Linked DNA regions of Arabidopsis thaliana. The protein of the gene in region 3 interacts with the protein of the main gene of each other region in a pairwise test. Each region holds a gene or a part of one and is shown on either strand. Other genes may lie near its edges.

Region 1 (7,755 bases), 5.2 Mb from region 3:
CTGCCTCTATGTCTGCTTAAACCTGAATAACAACAACAACCCTAACCCTAGCTGGTTCATACTCTCTCAAACTCCTAAACATAAACTGATACCACTCCCTTCTCTTCCTTACCCAGATCCACATCCCAATTGCTCAACTGTTGTCTCAACTGGTTCAGAGATCTACTTGCTGGGCGGATTCGTCGCAAAGGAAAAGAGAAGCAGGAGAGCTTATGTTCTCGATTGTAAATCTCATCAATGGCGTCGACTCCCTAAAATGCGTATAGCTCGAAAAGAAGCAGCCGCTAATGTGATTGACGGTAAGATCAATGTGTACGGAGGATGCAGCAGCGAGTACCATAACAGCGTAAACTGGGGAGAGATTTACGACCCAATGACTCAAACTTGGGAGCCATTTCCGGAAGGTGCCTTGAACAAAGAGGGTGTGATTCCATGTGCTCTAATAAAGGATGGCATAGCTTTTCCTGATTGTGGCCTCCTAATTAGTGGAAAAGTTTATGACACTACAACGATGGACACGCTTGATTACAATACACCCATGGACAAGCTTGACTTGTGTCCAAATGTTTGCATGCTAAAGATCGATAACCAAGACTTCCAAGCATCGGTTTCCGATGGGAAACTCAAACTAGTTCGCTGTCGTGGCGCTATGGCGTGGCATTGGACGGTTGGGGGACTTGAAGAATTGTCTTGTAATTATCTTCTTTCGGTGGCAAGCCCTGGCGGAGGAAGGAGAGTGACAGTTTGGTGGAAGACGTATACTAAGGAATGTAAAACGGAGATTTGGTGTGCACTAATTTTGCTTGAGCGCGAGTTGGTTTGGGGAGTCATTGAATGGTCTGAGAATGTGTTTACCTTGCCTGGATCTGAATCCGATTCAGATTCCAATTCCTTCCTTTTGCATTATGAATTAGTGACACTTGCTCGACACTGAATATATACTTTCACAAGTCTTGCTAATTATATGGATATATACTACCAACAAGACCAGCAGCTTCTTTCCTTAATGCTTATTGCAGACATTGATGGAGCTTACTTTCCCTCATTTGTTTCTCATGGCCTATGGAACATAAAACCGTTCTTTGGTGTCTCATGAGAAGCCCATTTAAAGCCCAAATAAGCTGTCACTGTTACACATTTAAAAGACTCCCCGGAGTTCTTCTTAGTTGCCTGCCCTAAAATGCATACCGCCAAGAACAGTCGAAGTGACTCATTTGTTCAATGAGAATAACAATAAAAGCCAAAAATCTTAACAACACCAGATTGAATAAACTTTGTCGATTAAGATTATATACAAGATGATTTCAATCTCTGCGGATTGAGTGGTCAAGTTCCTTACTATGATTATGCACTTGATCTCATTTTAGATGTTGAATCATCAAATGGTAAGTGAAGGGTCCATTTGATGAATTTAGGTTTTACTTTGTCTGAGAATTGTTGTGGAGAAGTTTGATCAATAAGACTTCACTTCAATGATCCAGAAAGGAGAATAACATTGAGGTAAAGAGGTCAAAACATGAACAATACAATGGCAAGTTCTTGTATATACCAAGGAATTTCAAAAGCCTGTGCTCAAGGCAGAAGAAGTGGGAAACCAAACATCTAATTTTCACAGCTGATGATTTGGTAAATCTAATCTCAGCTCTTCTACAACCACCATTTGGTCAATGCACTGGCAAAACTCGAAAGCTCAACGCATATTTCCCTCTCTCAAGACATCGATCATGTTGTAGATTCGCTGATCTGCTTTCAATCGAATCTGCATTTCACAAAAGTGTTGAATCAACAATTAGCATTATAGAGAAGAGCGGTGAGACTCAGAGAAAGCTGAGATTCAATTTCGCAGAATCATGATGAGCAATAAGAGCAAGCTTTAGAACCTTTTTGGCGAGGAAGAGCACGGCATCAACAGTACCCTCAGCATAAATTGATCGGCCGCAGACATTGTGCTGGAACTCGAAGGAGACACTGCAAAGAAAGACAAAGAAAAGGGAGCTAGTTATGGAACAGAGACACTTTTACAATGGAAACAAAGAAAAGTATAAACAATATCTTAGATATTGCATTACGTTTCATCGGGTGATGTCAAGTGATAAAGATGGAAAGCGTGACCAGAGATATGCTCCTCAGGTACACCCACCATCTCCACTTGCTGTTTTGGATCCCGAATCAATTGTATCTGCCACAAAAGTTGTATACACAGAAAATTCACATTCCGAGGATAAATTAAGTGATTGCCAAGATGTAAACAATAAAGGATGACCAATGCACCTGATCCATGTCGTAAGACACACCCAATTCCTGGAAGCAAGAAATAACAGCTTTTGCTGTTCCGGATGCATCCAATTTGCTAGCTTGATGAGACTCCATCACCTACATATAGATTGGCAGTTGATTAGATGTAGCAAGAAGTAATATAAAACTAACAGAGAAAGAAAAAAGAATTTGAATGTATAAAAGAAGTAAGAAAAGTACATCCAAGGAATAACCAGAAAAGGCTCCCGGAAACTGCTCAGCCATGATCTCCATGGCCGCAAGAAATGCTACAACCTATAGACCAACAAAGCACACAAATATGAGCAAAAATGATCTTAACTTACATGCATAAGTAATCATTTCTTCCAGAAACATTCAAGTACACATACCTGTTTACCCATCTGTGGAGAAATCACAGCATAAATCTTTGCTTCCTCAACAGTTTCATACAATTTGTTCCTATCTCCACCAGTTGTTCCCATGACGAAAGGAACACCTACTTTGCTATACAGCTCCGCATTATCTACATTTTGCGAGAATACCAAACTTGAAATCAACAAACAATAGACAAAAAAAACACTTCTAGCAGATGATTTTCACTTGCACAAATTCTAAACTAACTCAATCAAGGATCGTTCCGCCAACCAGAATTCAACCATAACTTCAACAAATCTAGAATACAATTGTCTTTTGATGGTAGAAATGAGAGATTCTGAAGTTTACCATTTACTGCAGAGGGAATTGTGTAGTCGACAACAATTAGCTCCGGGTGCTTCTCAAACACCGAAGAAAGAACCTTTTCTCTTTCAGTTGGACCGTGCACAGTAATCTCCTTTCCACAGACCTCAACTCTCTGACCATCCTCACCAGCAGATCCAAACGATATGGGAACAATATTTACTCCTGCAGAGTCTGCTGCTTTAATTACAGCTTTCCCCATTTTGCCACTACATCCATTCACCTGTAGAATAAGAGATAATGAATATAGCTAAATCCAACATAAAAATCCCCATTTCAAAAGGAACAAGCTTTGACATTTCTACATTTCAAACTTAAATGGTAATGCAAAGTCAAATCTCACAACTTTGAGTCTAAGAGAAATCATCAGATGATCAGGTTTACCATGATGGATATGCCATTTCCAGGCAAAACAGATTTCACGGCCTCCTCACCGGAATCCGCCATCGCCGTCATGGATAAAACCACCGGAAGACGACGTGTCCCAATGCCCATGAAACTAACACGGCCTTTACCGTATTTTCCTACAGTCTGATTCGTTCTAGAAGCAAATGCGATACGCGGGCGATGAAGAAACACACTGGACGACGCCATTAACCTGTGATCAAATCGTTTAAATTCAATAGAATCCTCTTAAAGAGTTTAAAGCTCATCTCCGTCAATCAAAACGTGAAATTCGTAGGTTTCGAAACGTACCCATTCGTAGCCATAAAGGAATTTACTCTCCAGGATACGGAAGTTTTGTTCTTTGTTACGACGGAGTCAAAAGTTTAAATCTTTCACTTTTGTCTGAAAATTTCCGGCCGGTGAGAGTGATTGGGGATGTAGGGTTTAGCTTATCCCTTTTCATCAAACCGGAAATCTCTAACCAAACTAATAGATTCAATGAAACCGTAATTTTAATGAAAATAATAAACCGGAAGCCTTGAACCGATTTGATAAGCTAATGGACCTCACAGTCTCACTCTTAACCTGAAGAACGAAGAACCGTCTCTAAAACTCCGACGAACGAAAAATGAAGTCATTAGCTTCGCCGCCGTGTCTCCGCCTGATACCGACGGCACACCGTCAGCTCAATTCGCGTCAATCTTCCTCCGCCTGTTATATACACGGTGGCTCTTCTGTGAACAAATCCAATAATCTCTCATTCTCCTCATCCACATCCGGTAAGCTTGCTTTCTCTCACTTCTCTTATAATAACTCAAATCGTTTTTTCGCAATTTCGTGATTGAGATGTTAACATTTGGTGTTAGGATTTGCGTCACCACTAGCTGTAGAGAAGGAATTACGCTCTTCATTCGTACAGACGGCTGCTGTTCGCCATGTTACGGGGTCTCTTATCAGAGGCGAAGGTCTTAGATTCGCCATCGTGAGTTCTCAGAATCGCTTTCTTACTTTGTGCGCTGCTTAGATTTAGTGACTTGGTTCTGATTTACAGTGAAATTTGAAAACTTTGAGCTCAATTGCAGTGTTGACTTGGTTCTGATTCATTTTTCTTTCTCAAGGTGGTAGCTCGTTTCAATGAGGTTGTGACTAAGTTGCTTTTGGAAGGAGCGATTGAGACTTTCAAGAAGTATTCAGTCAGAGAAGAAGACATTGAAGTAAAAGTCTTTTGCTTGTAGAACAGAATAAAAAGTTATGAGCTTTCACAAAGCTAATGACACTGTTTTTATTCAGGTTATTTGGGTTCCTGGCAGCTTTGAAATTGGTGTTGTTGCACAAAATCTTGGGAAATCGGGAAAATTTCATGCTGTTTTATGTATCGGCGCTGTGGTATGATTCTTGTTTTGAAAGAATCTCAGGCTATTCCATTTGTTTTTCTCCTCATATGGCTTCAGAAAGTAGTTGCTTTATGTTGATAACATATACTTAAAGAGTTGGATTTTGATATTACTGTTGTCCTTGTTGTGGTTTAGATAAGAGGAGATACCACACATTATGATGCTGTTGCCAACTCTGCTGCGTCTGGAGTACTTTCTGCTAGCATAAATTCAGGTTTACCTCGATACTTATTTGCTGGATATACATCTTTAGACATTTTTATTTGACATTGTTTTGGAAACACTGAAAGATTGATTTTGTATACTTCCGAACCTAAAAGAGCGGGTAGTTCATTTTTGCTTTTCTTTGGATTTTGGATGTTTAAATTCCCTCATCATGAATTACTTCTTCAAATTTTGTGTTTACGCACTATTGACTCTAGTAATTAAAGCTTATAAAAAATCCAATTTGCAGGCGTTCCATGCATATTTGGTGTACTGACTTGCGAGGACATGGATCAGGTTTAAGTTGTGTTATGCAAGAGTTGATGATATATAGCTTATTCATCATAATGGATGAACACTGAATTTGTTAATATTGTGGTTAACTGAAACTCTAGGCTCTGAATCGATCTGGTGGCAAAGCCGGCAATAAGGGAGCTGAAACTGCTTTGACGGCGGTAAGTATCATTATGATTCAATCCTTTATTGTTAGAATAAGATGTAGAAATTCCTGATCATTCCATTGAGCAACTGGTCATGTTATAACCATTCGGGTTCTTATGTCTTTTTGGTAAAGTCTTTGAATATTTCTTCCTCTTGTTTTTCAGCTCGAAATGGCGTCGTTGTTTGAGCACCACCTGAAATAGCTCGGCTCGTTCGATGGATGAACATGATCACGTATGAGAACCTCTTGATGTTGTCCCATTTGGTTACAATCCAGTCTCTGAAATTGTTTGTACCTCAAAGATTGTCAAAATGTTTTACCCTTGGTTACAAAATCATTTAAACGCTTTTGTAAGCTTCTGGCCTTGTTTTTTTTTTTTGAATCGTATGATAATAATAATTCCTCCGAATTTTGGGGGTCTTTCTGTACTAATCAAAAATGTGATCTTCTTTGTTGTAATATCTTGAAATTGAGGTGTCGAAATGGATGTCAATTTTAAAAGCCAATAAGGATCTTACACGACGAAAATTTTGTCGGCGAGCGAAGATTACGCGTCACATTGATAATAGTTAATATAAAGTTCAACGGATCAACCAATTCCACAATCTATAATCATTTTGTGACTCTTGGAGCACTCTCTTCTCTTTGTCTCTGTGACTCACATTCATCCAATCCAGGTAAAAATCAAATCCACTAAGTTTTATTTCTCTTCATTGTTGTTCTTGCGTTGATCCTTCATGATTTGATCGGAATACATGGAAAAAGGTGGTGTAATTAGATCGAGCTTTTTGTTTCTCCGATCTGTTTGACATTTAGGTTGATCTAGTGCTATCATGTGTAGATCGAACATTCGGATCTGTATTTCCCACGAATCCTCTTGATTCACGTGATATGATCATTGTCTCTTAGTACAGAGATGCATTGTATGTTCTTTGGTTTGGGATATTCCACTAGGATCCTAGTTGATGATATCTAATGTGATGCGAGTTCTCTATGGTCTTTGGTGAGAAACTTTGTTTTGGTGATTATAGCCTCTTACAACTACTAAAAACTGTGATTACACTTTGTTTGACTTTTACAACCATTGTCCTGCTGTGATTGATGAATCTACTCTCGGCGTTGAATGCTTGAAGTTTTGTCTATTCTTTGATACTCTAAGCTTTTGTTTCTGTGGCACTAATTGACTTTTCTTGCTGCTTAGGAGGCATGTCGACATCTGAGGATAAACCGGAAATCATCAGTAGAGTAGTTCATCAGGAGGGTGACGTGGAAATCGTCGATAGAAGTCAGAAGGATAAGGACGAGGAAAAAGAAGAAGGGAAAGGTGGATTCCTCGATAAGGTGAAAGATTTCATTCATGACATTGGTGAGAAACTCGAGGGAACCATTGGCTTTGGGAAGCCAACTGCTGATGTCTCTGCGATTCATATCCCTAAGATCAATCTTGAGAGGGCAGATATTGTTGTGGATGTGCTTGTCAAGAACCCGAATCCAGTTCCTATCCCTCTCATCGATGTCAACTACCTGGTCGAGAGCGATGGGAGGAAACTGGTTTCTGGTTTGATCCCGGATGCTGGAACACTCAAGGCTCATGGAGAAGAAACTGTGAAGATACCATTGACGTTGATCTATGATGACATCAAGAGCACTTACAACGATATCAACCCCGGGATGATCATACCTTACAGAATCAAGGTTGATCTGATTGTGGATGTGCCAGTATTGGGAAGACTGACATTGCCGCTGGAGAAATGTGGAGAGATCCCAATTCCAAAGAAACCTGATGTTGATATCGAGAAGATTAAGTTCCAGAAGTTCTCTTTGGAGGAAACCGTGGCGATTCTCCATGTGAGGCTTCAGAACATGAATGATTTCGACTTGGGGCTCAATGACTTGGACTGTGAAGTTTGGCTGTGTGATGTAAGCATTGGGAAAGCAGAGATCGCGGACTCGATCAAGCTTGACAAAAACGGAAGCGGATTGATTAATGTGCCGATGACATTCCGACCAAAGGACTTTGGTTCTGCGCTTTGGGATATGATTCGTGGTAAAGGAACAGGGTACACAATCAAAGGTAATATTGATGTTGATACACCATTTGGAGCTATGAAGCTTCCTATTATCAAGGAAGGTGGAGAGACCCGTCTGAAGAAGGAAGATGATGATGACGACGATGAGGTTATTTACCTATATATTCTTTTCTTTTGCTTATAGCTTGAACGTTATGATCGTTTTTGCTCACTAATATTAATTTCATTTTCTTACAGGAATAAGGAAACAAAGTGCTGCAGAGACAGAATGGTCATAGTTACTAAATCTCCGATCTTGAAATGT
Region 2 (7,130 bases), on a different chromosome or scaffold from region 3:
GGTTGATCCATTACCATCATATGGACGAGGAAGAGAATTGCCCGGTAGAAGACACAGAAGTCTTATATATGGTCAGAATCTCACAGATGTAGTCATAACAGGTACTAGTACAGCATTTATAAAAAATGATTAGTTTTGAACTGATGATGCTAGTTTTAGATATGCTGTCTGATGATATCAACATTTTAGGCGAGAACGGGACAATTGATGGTCAAGGAACTGTATGGTGGGATTGGTTTAGAAATGGAGAGCTTAACTATACAAGACCTCATCTTGTTGAGCTCATGAACTCTACTGGTCTGATCATCTCCAACCTCACATTCTTGAATTCACCGTTTTGGAACATTCATCCTGTTTATTGCAGGTCATAATAACTTAATCATGATTTGATTTTGATATCCACCAAATTTCTCTCTTCAATGTTCTGATATGGAGTTTTTGTCTGAACAGAGATGTTGTTGTAAAGAATCTCACAATTTTGGCTCCTCTTGAATCTCCAAATACAGATGGAGTTGATCCAGGTGAGTTTCCTTGCAAATTTTACTCGTAGATTCAAGATATGTACCTTATTATTATCTTTGGAAATTGTTCTGTTTGCAGATTCATCAACTAATGTTTGCATAGAGGATTGTTACATAGTTACCGGGGATGATTTGGTATCGATAAAAAGCGGATGGGATGAGTATGGAATATCCTACGCAAGACCGAGCTCCAAGATCAAGATTAATCGGTTAACAGGTCAAACTACTTCAAGCTCAGGAATAGCAATAGGAAGTGAAATGTCGGGAGGTGTATCCGAAATATACATTAAAGACTTACATTTGTTCAATTCGAATACTGGAATCAGAATCAAGACTTCTGCTGGAAGAGGCGGGTATGTTAGAAACGTTCACATCTTGAACGTGAAGCTCGATAATGTAAAGAAAGCGATTAGGTTCACCGGTAAGTACGGTGAACATCCTGATGAGAAATACGATCCCAAAGCACTCCCAGCTATAGAGAAAATCACCTTTGAGAATGTAAATGGCGATGGAATAGGTGTTGCGGGTCTTCTTGAAGGTATAGAAGGAGATGTGTTTAAGAATATATGTTTCCTTAATGTTACTCTTAGAGTGAAGAAGAATTCGAAGAAATCACCATGGGAATGCTCGAATGTGAGAGGTTATTCACAGTGGGTTTCGCCGGAAATTACTTGTGATTCTTTGAAAGAGAGTATATTCCCGGAACATGGATCTGATTGTTTCGGGTTATCGGAAAATAATATGGAGATATCAAGTGGTTTAAGTAGATCACCATGGTTACTTTCTTGGTAAGTTACTGTGAAGTTTTGAACATCAAAGGGGAAACACAGTTTGCTTGATTCTGAAGAAACCTCTTCGATTTTGAAAAATGATGCTTTCTTTCATCTTTTGTTGTTTTCGTGTAAATTTGTGTGCAGTGAGGAAAATAATCAGAGTGGCTTAAGAGTTTTTGTTTTTGTTTTCCTTGTATGGGCTTTAATGCTTTTGGTGAGCGGAACAATTGTAATATCTCCGACAGAGTCTGTTGAAATTTTTTGACAATTATTTTTCAATTTCAGATTCCATAACTAGAACAACTATATTTCACTGTTTATTCCGGTAAAATAGTTGAATTGAGAAGTAAATGATAGTATGAAAATATGAAATAGATCTTGATTTGGTTAAACTAGTAACTCAACTGAAACTTTGTGAAAACTAGAATACGAATATGAACCTAATTCAGCAGTGTTCCAAAACAATTCATATTTCTAGTATTATCTAATCTATGTCTAAAACCATAAAAATAACTACTAAACCAAAAAGGATCTGCATTAGCTACAGCTTTTTTTCTTGAAAAAAATAGCTTCATTACAAGTTACAACCGATTTTTTTATAAATGTAATAAAACTAGAAACAAAATTTGAATAAAATCTCGAACAAGTGATTTACATTCAGACAAAACTAACTTTTTCCCCCACCACCACTGACTGTATTGGTCAATCCTAGATTCTTCCAAGTTTGCTTTTAGAAAATCAGTAGTGATAAGCTCTTGAGATCTTTAGTCTTCTCACGCTAGACAAGAACATCCTACATAATCAATTAAGTCCCCATTAATTAAAGGGAATTTTTACATAATTATGTCAAAAAAAATACTTAACTAGAGATTTTTAATACACTAAAATTAAAAAAGAACTTACTCCCAAGGAACATCTCCAACCATCATCCAGTCACCTTCTTTGTCTGCGTACGTTAGCACGTGACTCTTCTCACTACACATATCTTCTTCTTCAGCCCCTATTTTCACAATTTTTTTATTGCCATTAGTTTTGGTCTTAACTATATACATGCAAAGAGAGGTATAACAAATATAAATATTAACTAAGTCTACATGCAAAGATGTAATTAAGTGTGTGTAGATACTTACAAAGGATTGAAGCATTGAACATGTAGTCGAGAGTTGTGATCAAATCATGATATCCATTAAGAGATAAAAGATCGATCTTTCTCCCAATAGGAACTCCTTCCATGTTCACTTTCACGTAGAAGCTTCCGACACTATTACACTCGTTTTGCTCTTCTTCTTCCATGATCATCATTTCCTCTGCCGCACCGACTCCATCATATTCATGGTTATCTCCACCGTTGTAATATTGTCCGGAAGATGATCCGAAGCTGAGCCCGAGTCTCAGGTCCGTGCTTAGGTTCCGAGTATTACTCGAAGACACACCAAATGGGTTGCTTTTGCAGCTGCTCTCTATCGATGAAGACGATGAGCTTCTCCCTCTTCCCATTTTTTTTTATTTCTTTTACTATTTCTCTCTCTCTATGATTTTATCTAAAACAGGTGATTAATGATTTGAACGTGTGTGTATTATATATAGAGAATGGAAATTTTTATTTAATTGTTAGAGCTTAAAAGGAAGAAGTAATAATATTGGAATGGTCTTTCTGATATGTTTTTTTTTTAATTAAAGAAAATGGTGGAATGATGAGACAGTGTTGTTAAAGATGTTGTCCATGTAGCAGACAAATACACGTGTCATGCAGACACTTGGTCAAAGTGTTGGTTTTGACTTTGTGCTCGGATTTTTTTGCTGGGTGTGTTCTAATTAAATTTTGTTTGTTTCAATGTAAATATACTCGACTCCTAGTACTACCTTTCGTTTAACAAAAAAAAAAAGAAAAAAGATTGTTTGATTTCTTATAAAATAATTAGGGTTGGATTTTAGAATTAACTGAATTATTTTGTTAAAACACTATAAATGAATAAGAAACTGTGACTGATTTAGTTTAAAAAGTTTAGGCTTAGATTTAAGGAATCATATGAACGTAGACAAGATAGTTCTAAACCGGATAAGAACATGTTTTCTTAAATAAATGTAGACCAATGTACAATACATAGTTTACTTCATTATCCGTCTTAGTAAAATCAAGTTCAATGCATGAGACTATCGTGACGCGCATTGATGCATTCGTGGGTTCGACAAACAACACTTCCATAATTAAGGTTTTTTTTATAACCGCGAGACACTTTAAGCAAAAAAAATGTTTTTGTTTTAGCATTAAAGTATGTCAAAATGTTTTTTAAATTGAATATCAACTGCTAAACACGTCTCATGTACGTCATTAACTCTCTAATAATGTTCTTTAATTATGACAAAAAATATTGAAAATAGTCTACGTGGACTCCATTGTATCTAAGCATGACAAGAGTTTGAGCTTTCCATGATTTTAATCCACGTCGCTGTTAGTAATTACACTCCTCTACTAATTTGATTGTTCCTTTTAATTTATCTTATCATGAAGCATCTATAGTCAAGTCCAACCACTACTATATTTTTCCAATACTAAACCAATTTACCAACCTTTTATGTGTAGCAATCAAAGTGAATCAAGTGGTGCTAATCTCCCACAAATCTTAATCAGAATTTCTGTATCTTTTCATGGCAGAGACCAAAACACATCATATTGGTGATCTTAGTCTTATCCGTCGTTAGTATTCAAAATAGTGACTTTAATAAATGCTTCTCTTTGGTTGGCACACCAAGATTCTATTTGTGTAATATTCATTGGATTTAGATAGAAACATGTATGTGGTATAGTCAATTCGGTTGATATATTAAACTTTGGTCACCAGAAAAAAGTGCATGCTTCTTGGTTTTGTACGTTACATGTAATAAATTAGAAGCGAAGAAACAAATAGAGGGGAATATAGAAAAAGAAAGAAAATGAGAGAAGGGAAGCATGAGTAATGAATGCGTAACCTTAAAGAGAGGAGCTAATGAGAGATGCTTCGCCTATGGACTAAGGACTGAGGATACGTCACAATTCTCACACTCCAAAACATACATATAGTTTTGCAAGCACGAGACAGTAAACACTATCGACAACATTTCACGTTCCCCACGTCACGTGCCTTTTTCCACGTGTCTCCTCACTTTGTCGCCTCCACTTCCACTCTTCTACAATCACTCCTTAAGCTTCTTCATGACCTACCAATCAATATGATTAGAACTCTTTGTTCTCTCTTTTATAATTGGAAGATTTTGTCCAAAGTTATTTTTACAATCAAATCATATTCCATTCCGTCTTTTAGTTTATATGTACAACGTAACTTGTTTCTTATTTTTAATTAATGGTTTTAGAACTTAAAGTTTTACGGATTACAAATAGTATTCTTAAGTATTAAAGTGTTTTTCATATTATATATAGTTTTTTAAAATAATTTGAAACGATCCTGAATCTCTTATCAAGTGTCTTTATCATTGAGCCAAAAACATATATAGTATACACATTCATACAAATCTTTTGAACCCGAAACATCCAAACAATGTCGTTATCACAATAACCGACATGTATTGCGTAGATATCGTTTGGTTTGAAGAAACAAATAGATACTATTAGAAAGAAGAAGAGAAAAAGATTTAGCTTGAACCAAAAGAAACTCCAAACATGATTTTTGAGAGAGAAAAAAAAAAAGGGAAACTGATAAAGAAGAGATATGTTCCCCACCACCCCTACCATTATCATCACAATTTCCTCACTTTTTTTTCTTTCTTCTTCAAACTTTTTTCTCCACACCATTCTTTGTCCCCTTTGTTTTTTTTTTTTGTATCTTGTACTCGTCTTTTGTTTCTAGATAACCAATATGTTATTACATGTATTTGGTCAAGTATTTTCTTTGAATAACGTATAAAATTCTGGAAAGCGAACATAGATAGTAAAAACAAGAAAAAAATAGAGTCAATTCTAAGTAAATTAAATCCTATTTGTGAAAGTATAAAAACAATACTAAAAGAAAATTGGAGAATTGAGATTTCACCATATGTACATAGAAATGAAATTCAAAAGAAAAACAGTGATTCTCAGATTTTCAAGGCACTCATAGTTTTTTAGTTTCAAGATTTAATGATAATGTCTCGTCCTTTTACAAATCATTAAGTTGTAAGAGAGTTTTGCTTCTTTTTGAAAGAAAAAAAATACTACTCATAATTTACTTTATGTTTATCATAAATTATGATAACTCGACTTTACTGCAATGTGTTTGCTTGTCAGTAAAAACATGGGCTGGCTTCAAATCCGGATGATTGCATGTCTCGTGACTCTTTTGTAGCCTCTCTTGTTGGCCAACTCATTCCATTTTCTCGTTTTAGGCTCTTTCTTTTTTTTAGTCACAAAGTTGACCATACCAACATGCAAGACCAATTATTATATCTCTTTTTGACATAAACCAATTATTATATCTTCAAAATTAGAGGTTTTTGACCACCACTCTGATATATTTTTGGCTTCGAAACCAACCAACAAAAAACATAGCGGTTTAAAAATTAAAAAACCGTCTTTATCATAAACCAAACCATAAAATGCAGTGATTCACCTTCTAATCTTCTGTTTGACGTACAAGTGATAAATGACTTCAAAGCTACTCCCGTTTCTTTACGAGTGATTTCATTTCATCATAAAGAAATATGTGTTGCTCTTGTTCTTAGAAAATTATTTCTCCCAGTCCTTTACAATAATGTAGATTTCTTCTGTTAGTATGATAAATATATATATGATTGAATGTATATATTTAACATGTTTTACGAAAAAAGTCAGTGTATACTATTTATGGGAAAAGTATCACTAACTTCGAAATATAGTTGATATTTGTTAGTTTTATGTCTACTTTAATTTAAGTCATTTAATCAAAAATTATAATGTTGAGGTCCATAAACTTTAAAAGTCCCAATAATGTGTAATTAAGTTTTAGAAAGAATACTTATTGGATTTTCATCTATGACTCTATTTAGAAAAGTTGTGTCTACAGTGACTAGCTGCAAAAAAAAGGTTATGTATAGTATCGATTGCCCCTTAAAACGGAGTGAAAACATGTTTTCTTGAATCAAATCCAAAGTTTACAAAATAGAGGAAGATTTAGATATGGTCTCTAAAGTCTAAAGTAGTCTAGGACTAGGAGGGCAATCTTGTGAGGTATTAGTGATGTTCTTTTCATGTATTTAATATATAAATGTAAGTTTGCTGAAGCTTAATACATTAATGAATATGAATGCATGAAAACTCGATAAAGCAAGATACGTGCGTGTTACTACTATTTGAGGTTTCGTTCGTGCCTTTTAGAATAGACCTATTGATACTATATTTTATTTCAATAATTTGGGTTAGATTACGCGCTAACCCCGTGATTGATTTGTTTTTTTTTTGTCTTTAATAATAATAATTACCGAATCTTAAAACATGATAATGATACGTGTGGGTGTGTGACATTATGTTCTCTTTTAAGATTCTATATGACGTCATTTCCCTTCCAAATGACATTTGATTTGCCCTTGTGCCGATGCATAGTTTTAGGCTCTATCTCTTTCCTTTTTTCGTGATGACAAGGTTAAAGCCTTATAACCTCTTGGCCCAATAAATTTGTATTTGTATATGTAATATGTTAGATCAAAATGTTTTACTGTGCAATGTTATTTTACTTGGTTTAATATTTCAAACGACAATGTTACCCTGAAATAGTATAATAGCTAGAGATCCCTACTTGTAAATATCAAAACATTGAAAACTATTTTTCTGAATCATTTGGTGTAACCGGCTAAGTTATATTATTGGTCGGACACCAAATATTATAGA
Region 3 (8,444 bases):
TCCAGTATAGATATATTGAAGAAGAGCATGAAGAATCGGGTACGACACTCCACGAAGTTGAATGACATCCCCATCAGATGATCTCAAAGGAAAATTACCTGATGCTTGTAATATAACCTTGTGAGCAGGGACATCCATTTCCTCTTCACCAACAAGGAAGACTGTGTCAGATAATTGCCAACTCTCCAAGAAATTCCCAAGTCCCCATTGTTCATAATCATAACCAGTCCCTTCCTCCACAACCTTCTCGTCACCAGACTCATCTCCTCTAACTTCACGGCAATCCACTTGCTTCCACAGCAAGATATGATTATGTGTCACAGGAAACACACTCACGTTTCTATATCCAACATGTTTATCCCAGCTGCTCAGACCAACATACTGAACATTACAATTGGGCTTGGGGTCTTGCCACTTAAATACCAGGTTCTGAAACGGATACCGACCTTTACCAATGCTAATCAACCCATCATAGATACTAATCCAGTAACTCTGAAACTCCAAAGAACAACGACAAAGATCAGAAGCTTCCTCATCGACCACAGATTTTCCATCTACCTGAATCTTCAACCTACGATTCCTATTGCTACCAATGATAACAATGTAGTGAGGACTATTATCTTTCTTATAATGGTAATGTTGAGTCCCCACATTCTCTCTAAACACCACCGTGACATCATTGTGAGCAAACGCATCAAACGCAACACAACCTCTTCCCGCTTCCCGGAACTTCAGATCATCACTCCAAGCACACTCAAAAGGTGCCACTGTCAGAAACTTGTTCTCTTTCGCCGCAACCATCTTTCTTCATAAAATCTCTTGCCTTCACCTACAATATTTCCAAACCCACAAGCCATCAACATCTATATAACCAAAGACAAAGACACTAAAAACATAAAAAGAAACAAAATTTCACTCATTGAGACATTTTCACAAACACATAGAACTCAACCAGACTCACTTTTGAAAAACCAGATCATACGTTTTGAGAAGACAATGATAACAAATGGGTTTTTAAAAAGGAACGTTATTTTCAATGAATCAGCTAGAAAGCAATCAACTTGGCAAAAAAATCTGAATCCAACTGGCTTCATACCCCACCATGAACTTCCGCCGTCAAATTTCAACCACAACGTGGTAATAAAACACGAGCAAAACAATCAGATGCAGAGTACATCAACTTTTAAATCGAATAAAGACAAAAGATTTGAGAAGCTACAAAAGGAAAAATAAAAATGGGTGATTTGATCATAAATCAGATATTTAGATGTGTGGATAAAATTTTCCGAGCGTACCTAATGAACTGTGCGTGACACGTAATAGTGAGTCAGATCTAATCCTTTTTGGAAAGAAGAGTCAAAAAAGGAAATGAGAGACACGAATACGAAGAAGAAGACATGATGAGATATTTTTTGTGTCAGGAGAAACGAGTTGGTGGATTATTGTCACCTGTACATTAATGGGCCAACTAAATCTGTATAAGGCCCACATTTTATTCTGAAACTGAGAATTAAACTCTTTTTTTGGAATGAGAAATGGATAATATGTATGAAATATTAAAAAGTATTTAAAAGTTTAATTATCTTCATAAATGCATATGATTATTTTTTATTTTTTATTAGACAAGAAAAAGAATAATCCTACACTTCCTATTTATTTTACATATCATACTTTTAAAATAAAAATACAAGCCAAAACACAAGTGTACAAAGCATTTTCGAAATGGATTTTTTGATATTGTGTACACAATTCTGAATTATTTCAAAATTTCTTTGATATTCTGCACACAATTCTTTCAAAAATAATTCTTGAATTTGAATATTCTAACAACAAACTGAAGTACTTTTTTTTAGCTAAAGTGTATGCAATTTTATAAATAGATGTCCAATGGGCTATTTCCAGAACATTTTGGTTTGATAACAATTTTGGGCATATGTATGTTTTTTTCACATAAGTATAGTAGATAGTTGGACAATGTGATTTCTGTTACATATGTAAGAGACATCCATTTTAAAGTTTTGAAATGTGTTTTAATTTTATTTTGTAGGTTTCAACACCCACTTTTAAATAATCTATACTATTAATGAGAATGATCTTTTAGATGAGAATATTATATAAAATACATGATAAATGGAGAAGAAAAGGGAATGTAATTAGTGTAAGTGTTCTTTAAAAAAGAATGAGATGAATATTCAGATTAAATTTACCAAAAATGCGCTTAAACGTGTCAGATTTTCTCATTCTTTGTTATTATTTTACGCATACTTCTGATTTTCATCAAACTACTTAACATTTTCGGGATTAATGATAGGTTTACTAACTTAGTGAATTCTTATATTAGTACATAAGTGAGCACTTTGTAGACTTGTTGTCTATTCCTAAAATGGAATCTCAAACTCAATTTTGTCTTAAAATAAGTTTCATTCATTATGCTTGATACATGAATTCAATATTCTCTAAACTCAGAACAGAATCCAATATTCTCTAAACTCAGAACAGAATCCAATATTCTTTATCCCTAATCATCTTAGATTTAAGCTACCTTGCTAAATGATTAAGTTACTTAGCAACAATCTCCAAATTCTAACAGTACCAATCATAAAAGAAAAAGCCACTTGAGAAGAAAAAAAAGATACATAGCCAGAAACAAACCATTAAACTTTTAATCATTAAGACCAATAAACTTGAGAAACAGAAAAAGAGTCTTGACCAATCCTACATTTACCCCATATATAGCTCAAAATCCAACAATTGCAGCAAACTCTCACAAGCAAATCCACCCCAACAAAAGCACTTACCCCGATCCATATATCACAACATTGCAGCAACCCCAAAGCCGATCATCGCGCACAAAAGAGAACAACATACATGAGAAGGTTTATGCTGGACCGCAAAGATAAACGAGAGTTAAGTTGTTATAGCTTGAGATGGCAATTTCGGGTGGTTATGCTCTGCTTCATAAGTAACAATAAGCATTGCCGGATCTTCCAAACATCTCTCAACATGCTTCCTCGCTGGACAACCTCTCATGCTACTACATTTGTAATATCCTCTGCACACAAAAATCCAATACAACACTTCCTTAAAAGGACTCATCTTACTTGTGTCATCTCTTAGCCATTTTTAGACTCTTTTTTCTCATCAAAACTCAAAAGCCTTAATGTTAAAAGGATGGTTCTTTGCATGTGACATCAATCTTTATCACTTCTTAACATAACAAAATATGATCAAGAAGTGTATACCTGGGATAAGGAGAGCCCTTGATGGGCTTCTGACCATATTTTCGCCATGAATAATCATCAGGAGGGATATCTGCAACCTTGTTACTTATAGCCGGTACTCTAATCGATCTCCTAACCCGATGTTTCCTGTCAATTTCCCAATCAGATTAACTACACCATCTTAGTAAAGAGAGGCTATGAAAACGAAACAAAAATATGGAACTGACCTCTTCTTAGCGCAGTGGCATCGGCTAGAGCTCCCGCATTTTAAGCTTCCATGTTCATCTCCTTTCAAGGGGCATTTCCTCTTAGAATGTAGTGAATTCTGATCAGTTGAACTAGGAACCCCAAAATGGAAGGAGTTCTTTCCCTCTATATTAGCAACACTACCATCTATGCTAAGTGAAGAAACAAAGGACCTAGTGGATGACATAGTTGGAGTACAACTAGAGTTATCGAAACTCAAACTTATCCCACCATTGCATTTCCTAAGCATAAGCTCAGCTTGATGTTTCTGTAGCTGCTGTTGCTGATGAAGATGGTGAGCTTGTAACCGTTCATGAAACTGTTGCTGTTGCTGCTGCTGCTGCTGCTGCTGCTCCTGCTGTTGTTGTTGTTGTTGTTGTTGTTGTTGTTGTTGTACTGGAAACAAAGTAGGATAATTCGAAGGAGGCATTGTCTGCTGATTAAGCTGAAGGAGAGGAGCTTTAGCATTTGAGTTTAAACTAAAAGAGCGAGTCCCTAAAGTGAGTGAATCTGAAGGTTGTCTCAAGCTCAATTCCTGGAAACCAGACCGGAGTACCGGTGTTTTCTGAGAAGATGATGATGGAACTTCTGTTGTCCTTTGTTGACATGGATCAAGTAAGAGACTTTGAGAGACATGACTCTGAAGTTTCTTAGCTCTTCTAAACCTAGCATGACCAACACTACTGCTTAACAAACTCCCAACTCTCTTGAACCTAATCACAGCTTCTCTAGTTTCAGATACTAAATTCTTTTCAAAACCAACATGATCTTGTTGCTGTGATCTATGTAAAAGATTAAGAACTCTATGACAACTCTCAACAGCTGCTCTGTTTGTTCCTTCTATCTCCTCCATCTAAGAACCCTAATTTTTTCCCCCAGAAAACAAAACTTTCACTCAGAATACAAAAGAGAACAGAAAATGGGAGAGACCCAGATAGTCAAGTTTCAAGCTTACACAATCCCATCTTGAAGAACAGCTCTGAGTCTCTTATAAGAAGAAGATCAAGGTTAAAAAAAGAGAAGGAATTGGGAGATATAGAGAGAGAGGGAATGAAGAAGAGGGAAAAGTAAGAGGGGTTCCTTGGATGCTTGTAGAGCTAAAAAGAGGGTCAGTGTTAATGAGTTGTCAAACCCAAGATTCCTCCACCATCTTTAAAGGAGAGGTTCGAGAAAACGAAAGGTGTGAAAGAGAAGACTTTCTTGCACACACACACAGAGTCACTCTTCTCTTCTCTCTCTTTTAAGTTGGCTTCAGCAATCACTCAACCAAAACAAAACAAATATTGAAAGCATCCTTATGATTTTCTTTTTTACCCCAAAACAAACAACACACTGTGAAACAACAAATCATTTTATTATAAATAAAAAAAGACAACTTTATTTTTTGGAAAAGCAAAGAGAGGAAAAAAAGGAGAGAGAGAGAACGAAACCGGCGTCTGTCACAGATTCAGAGGTGGGTCCTACTCGAAGACTCGGGTCGTAATTATTATTTTTGCAGTTTAGGTTTTTCTTCTTTTAGTATAATAATAAAACAAATTTAATTGTTCTCTGACATAAAAAAGATAACTAATCAAACTTAGCATCATCATACTTCGGACATTTTGTTGACCTCTTTTATCTTTAAGTTTTTTTTGTTCATATAATACCGTATTGTTTTCTTTTATGATATAAAAATATACGAATGTTTCATTGTTATTCACGAGTTTAAAAAAAAAGAGAGAAAGTTAATTTCCAAGTTTTTGATAAGTAACTTGACAAAACAAAAAAAGTAAAAGAAAAAGTGGTACCAAACTTTTTTACGCAGTTTCTAACGGTTACTTAGTACACTTGAGGTGTCTTTTTATTCTACGGATCAATGATGTGTTTTTAAGCATAAGTGTTGCTAAATGCAGAAATTTATATACTAACAAACATTACATTTCCATTACTAGATATTGGAAATTTTGGTGTTAAATGTTTTGAGTATTATAAGTTTTCTCTATCTATTAATCTAACATTTTAGCATCCATTAGTTATGAAATTTCAATATATTATTGTTGAAGATTTTTTTTGTTATGTATAATGAATTATAACGTTACAATTAATAGAAAATCTATCGAAAATTGGCTTTTTAACATAAAGTAACGCATGTTATCATTATTAAGCGACAAACGAATTTATATTTTATATTAGGTATATGACAATTGGTAATGGACGAATCATACGTTACTTTTAAATTAGTAAGAAAGACATCGTCACGCCAACTAGTCAAGTGCGCTTGTTCTAGTAACGTATGTTTAGGGAACTAGCCACACCGAATCTAATTCACGTGTGGTTTTTGTGGTGAAAGATCGACCAATGGTTTAAAGTATTGTTGGTGGTTTAAATCTGGCTGAAGTAAAACCATATTAATACCTTACTATTGCTTTCTCTTGCGGTTTCAATATAGCAGTTTTTAAATAGTCCGCTTTCTAAATTAAAGTAACGCACATCATAATCATTAGGCGACAAAACAAAATATATATTCTACCATTATATACAAGACATTTGGTTATGGAAGAATCGTACGTTACTTTTGAAACGTTAAGAAAACATCGTTACATCAACTAGTCAAGTATTCTTGTTCAAATAACGTATATTAGGAGAACTATATAACTATGTCGAAACTAATTCACGTGTGCTTTTTATGAAAGATCGACAAGTGGATAATTTCTTCATCCAATAAACAAACCCAAAATTCTAACCCGGTAAAAGTAAAAACCTTATTAATACCTTAATATTGCTTCCTCTTGCAATCATAATGTAATACATTGCTAAATGTAGAAAAATATCTACAAACAAACACCACAGCGATTCCAATACTAGATATTGGTGACTTCTTGAGTATCATAACTTGTTTCCCATATATCAATTTAACATTTTAGCATTCAAAATTAGTTATGAAGTTTCAATTATTCTTGCTGGAGATAAATTTTATTTACTAGGCATAAATCAATCACAACGTGATATGTGCATGCTTAGTTAATAGAGTATCTATCGAAAATTCGCTTTTTTTAATTAAAGTAACGTATATCATCATCATTATTAAGCGACAAACGAATTTAGACATTTTACCATCATTTACAAGATAATTGGTGATAGACGAATCATACGTTACTTTATAGATAGTATAAAATAAAATTACGCCAACTCGTCTATTGCGCTTGTTTTAGTAACATATGTTAGATGAATTGGCCACGTTGAATCTAATTCATGTGTGCTTTTTGTAGAAAATCGACAAGTAGATAATTTATTCGTCACAATGACCCAAGATTCAAACCTAATTGAAATAAAACCCTAGTAGTACCTTATTATTGATTCCTCTTGAAATCTCAATACAACAGTTTCTAATTAGCACATTTGACGTGTCTTTCCATTCGACAAAGTTTTGGTAAAATATATGCGGAATTTAACAAAATTATAAGACTTTGTCTATAAGGGAATTTATGAAAAATTTGTTTCTCCAATTAACATCATCATCATTAATCGAAAAAGATGCTTACACACTTAATCAATCATGTACAAGAAAATTGGTGATGAACGAGTTATATGTTATTTTCAAGACAGTAAGAGAAACATTGTTACGTCAAGTAGTCAAGTACGTTTGTTCTAGTATCGTATGTTGTGGGGGAATTAGCCTTGTCGAATCTAATTCACATATTATTTTTGTGGAAATTTGACTAATGGATAGTTTATCCGTCCATAAAACAATGACCCAAAATCCAAATTTGGTTGAAGTAAATCTCTATAAATACCACGTGAATTTAACTATGTTTTGTGTGCAAATTTTTTTATTTCCCAACAGTTTAGAAATATCTAGAAACAAATGCAAAAAGACAACCAAATTTCTTCAAAATTATGTTTTAAAAAAAGAAATAAGAAAATTCATCTTTAATTTTGCATTTTGTATTAAAAATTGTTAGAAAACTTTTTTTTTTGGTGAACAAAATTGTTAGAAAACTTTTATACATCTCTCTTTAATTCTTGTATTAAAGGTACACTTCACAAGTTTTTTTTTGGTTATTTTTCTTTTGACTTCTCAATAATGGCTAAGTCATTCGATTCACAAGGATTCCGTGTACTTCTCCATTTAGTCCAAACAAGGAAACAAATATTTATAGAAATGACAACATTATCCTAATCATACATTCAAATATCCAAAAAGGACACAATCTCCTTTAAAAAGCCATTTTTGAATCTTCTTGGATAAACAAACAAAGTGTCTGTCTCACACCAATGTTTCAAATTTTAAGATTACAATTAAATAAATATAAATTGCTAAGTTTCTTTCTACACAAGACATTCCACTGCTCCTGCACTTTTCTTTCTTCTCGGTCTAGAAAAGATTCAATGAATAGCTCTTTAGTTGTTGCATTCAGGGAGCTTCCGAGAATAAACTAGCACCATTACAAATTCCTTTGCAGATGAACCTATTGACGCAGCGACTCTTTGATGCTTAGAAGTTGTTTCCAACCATAGGTCTACTAAGCTGTGAAGCTGCAACGTTGGGATCACTGGTTCTCCCATACATGTTATCTCTACCTGTTTACAAAAAAAAAACATAGAGTAGTTAAGGTTCAACACCGGTGGGTCGAAAAAGTCCCAGATCATAAGATATCACCCGGTACACAAGTCGGAAATAAAAGGGAGAGTTAACTTTAGTTTAAACATTTATGGGGACCTTACAGTCATATTGATAAGCACAAGACTTGAACCAATGTATAGAACTACGGTCTATGTGATTCCATATTAGACCGAGTGGATACCTCATATAAAACAGAAAAGTAGCCACTGCATAAGATAAGATTGCTTACCTCATCTTCACTCTTGAGATCAAGCTTCCTCATGAGGTACTTTTGGATAAAAGAAACTGGAATATTTCCATCCCTACCATATAATGAGACAGGGGATCAACTCTGGCACAATATAATTCTCCCAAACAAGAAAATAGACACCTCC

The links. Proteins that work in one complex are often made in the same cells at the same time.
Region 1: the proteins of WRKY21 (region 3) and COS1 interact in binary tests that used the Arabidopsis thaliana proteins (3 or more experiments, as listed by UniProt).
Region 2: the proteins of WRKY21 (region 3) and IAA30 interact in binary tests that used the Arabidopsis thaliana proteins (3 or more experiments, as listed by UniProt).

Annotation. Positions count from the first base shown.
Region 1 is NC_003071.7:18,220,295-18,228,049, forward strand, and holds COS1 (6,7-dimethyl-8-ribityllumazine synthase / DMRL synthase / lumazine synthase / riboflavin synthase), read left to right. Parts: upstream 1-3,918; 5' UTR 3,919-4,009; coding exon 4,010-4,160; intron 4,161-4,247; coding exon 4,248-4,363; intron 4,364-4,499; coding exon 4,500-4,595; intron 4,596-4,671; coding exon 4,672-4,767; intron 4,768-4,910; coding exon 4,911-4,989; intron 4,990-5,229; coding exon 5,230-5,276; intron 5,277-5,374; coding exon 5,375-5,434; intron 5,435-5,584; coding exon 5,585-5,623; 3' UTR 5,624-5,939; downstream 5,940-7,755. Other genes in the region: AT2G44030 (Galactose oxidase/kelch repeat superfamily protein), read left to right, coding at 1-934; AT2G44040 (Dihydrodipicolinate reductase, bacterial/plant), read right to left, coding at 1,691-1,759, 1,881-1,968, 2,070-2,179, 2,272-2,373, 2,476-2,550, 2,646-2,779, 2,980-3,217, 3,379-3,592 and 1 more; AT2G44060 (Late embryogenesis abundant protein, group 2), read left to right, coding at 6,628-7,599, 7,689-7,694. UniProt on the Arabidopsis thaliana protein: Catalyzes the formation of 6,7-dimethyl-8-ribityllumazine by condensation of 5-amino-6-(D-ribitylamino)uracil with 3,4-dihydroxy-2-butanone 4-phosphate. This is the penultimate step in the biosynthesis of riboflavin.
Region 2 is NC_003074.8:22,991,496-22,998,625, reverse strand, and holds IAA30 (indole-3-acetic acid inducible 30), read right to left. Parts: upstream 2,941-7,130; 5' UTR 2,792-2,940; coding exon 2,425-2,791; intron 2,295-2,424; coding exon 2,198-2,294; coding exon of another isoform or gene 2,194-2,197; exon of another isoform or gene 2,088-2,193; coding exon 2,033-2,087; 3' UTR 1,817-2,032; downstream 1-1,816. Other genes in the region: AT3G62110 (Pectin lyase-like superfamily protein), read left to right, coding at 1-101, 190-364, 451-521, 601-1,313. UniProt on the Arabidopsis thaliana protein: Aux/IAA proteins are short-lived transcriptional factors that function as repressors of early auxin response genes at low auxin concentrations.
Region 3 is NC_003071.7:13,029,767-13,038,210, reverse strand, and holds WRKY21 (WRKY DNA-binding protein 21), read right to left. Parts: upstream 4,794-8,444; 5' UTR 4,321-4,793; coding exon 3,449-4,320; intron 3,369-3,448; coding exon 3,243-3,368; intron 3,053-3,242; coding exon 2,908-3,052; 3' UTR 2,414-2,907; downstream 1-2,413. Other genes in the region: AT2G30600 (BTB/POZ domain-containing protein), read right to left, coding at 1-801; DRIP2 (DREB2A-interacting protein 2), read right to left, coding at 7,848-8,027, 8,300-8,372.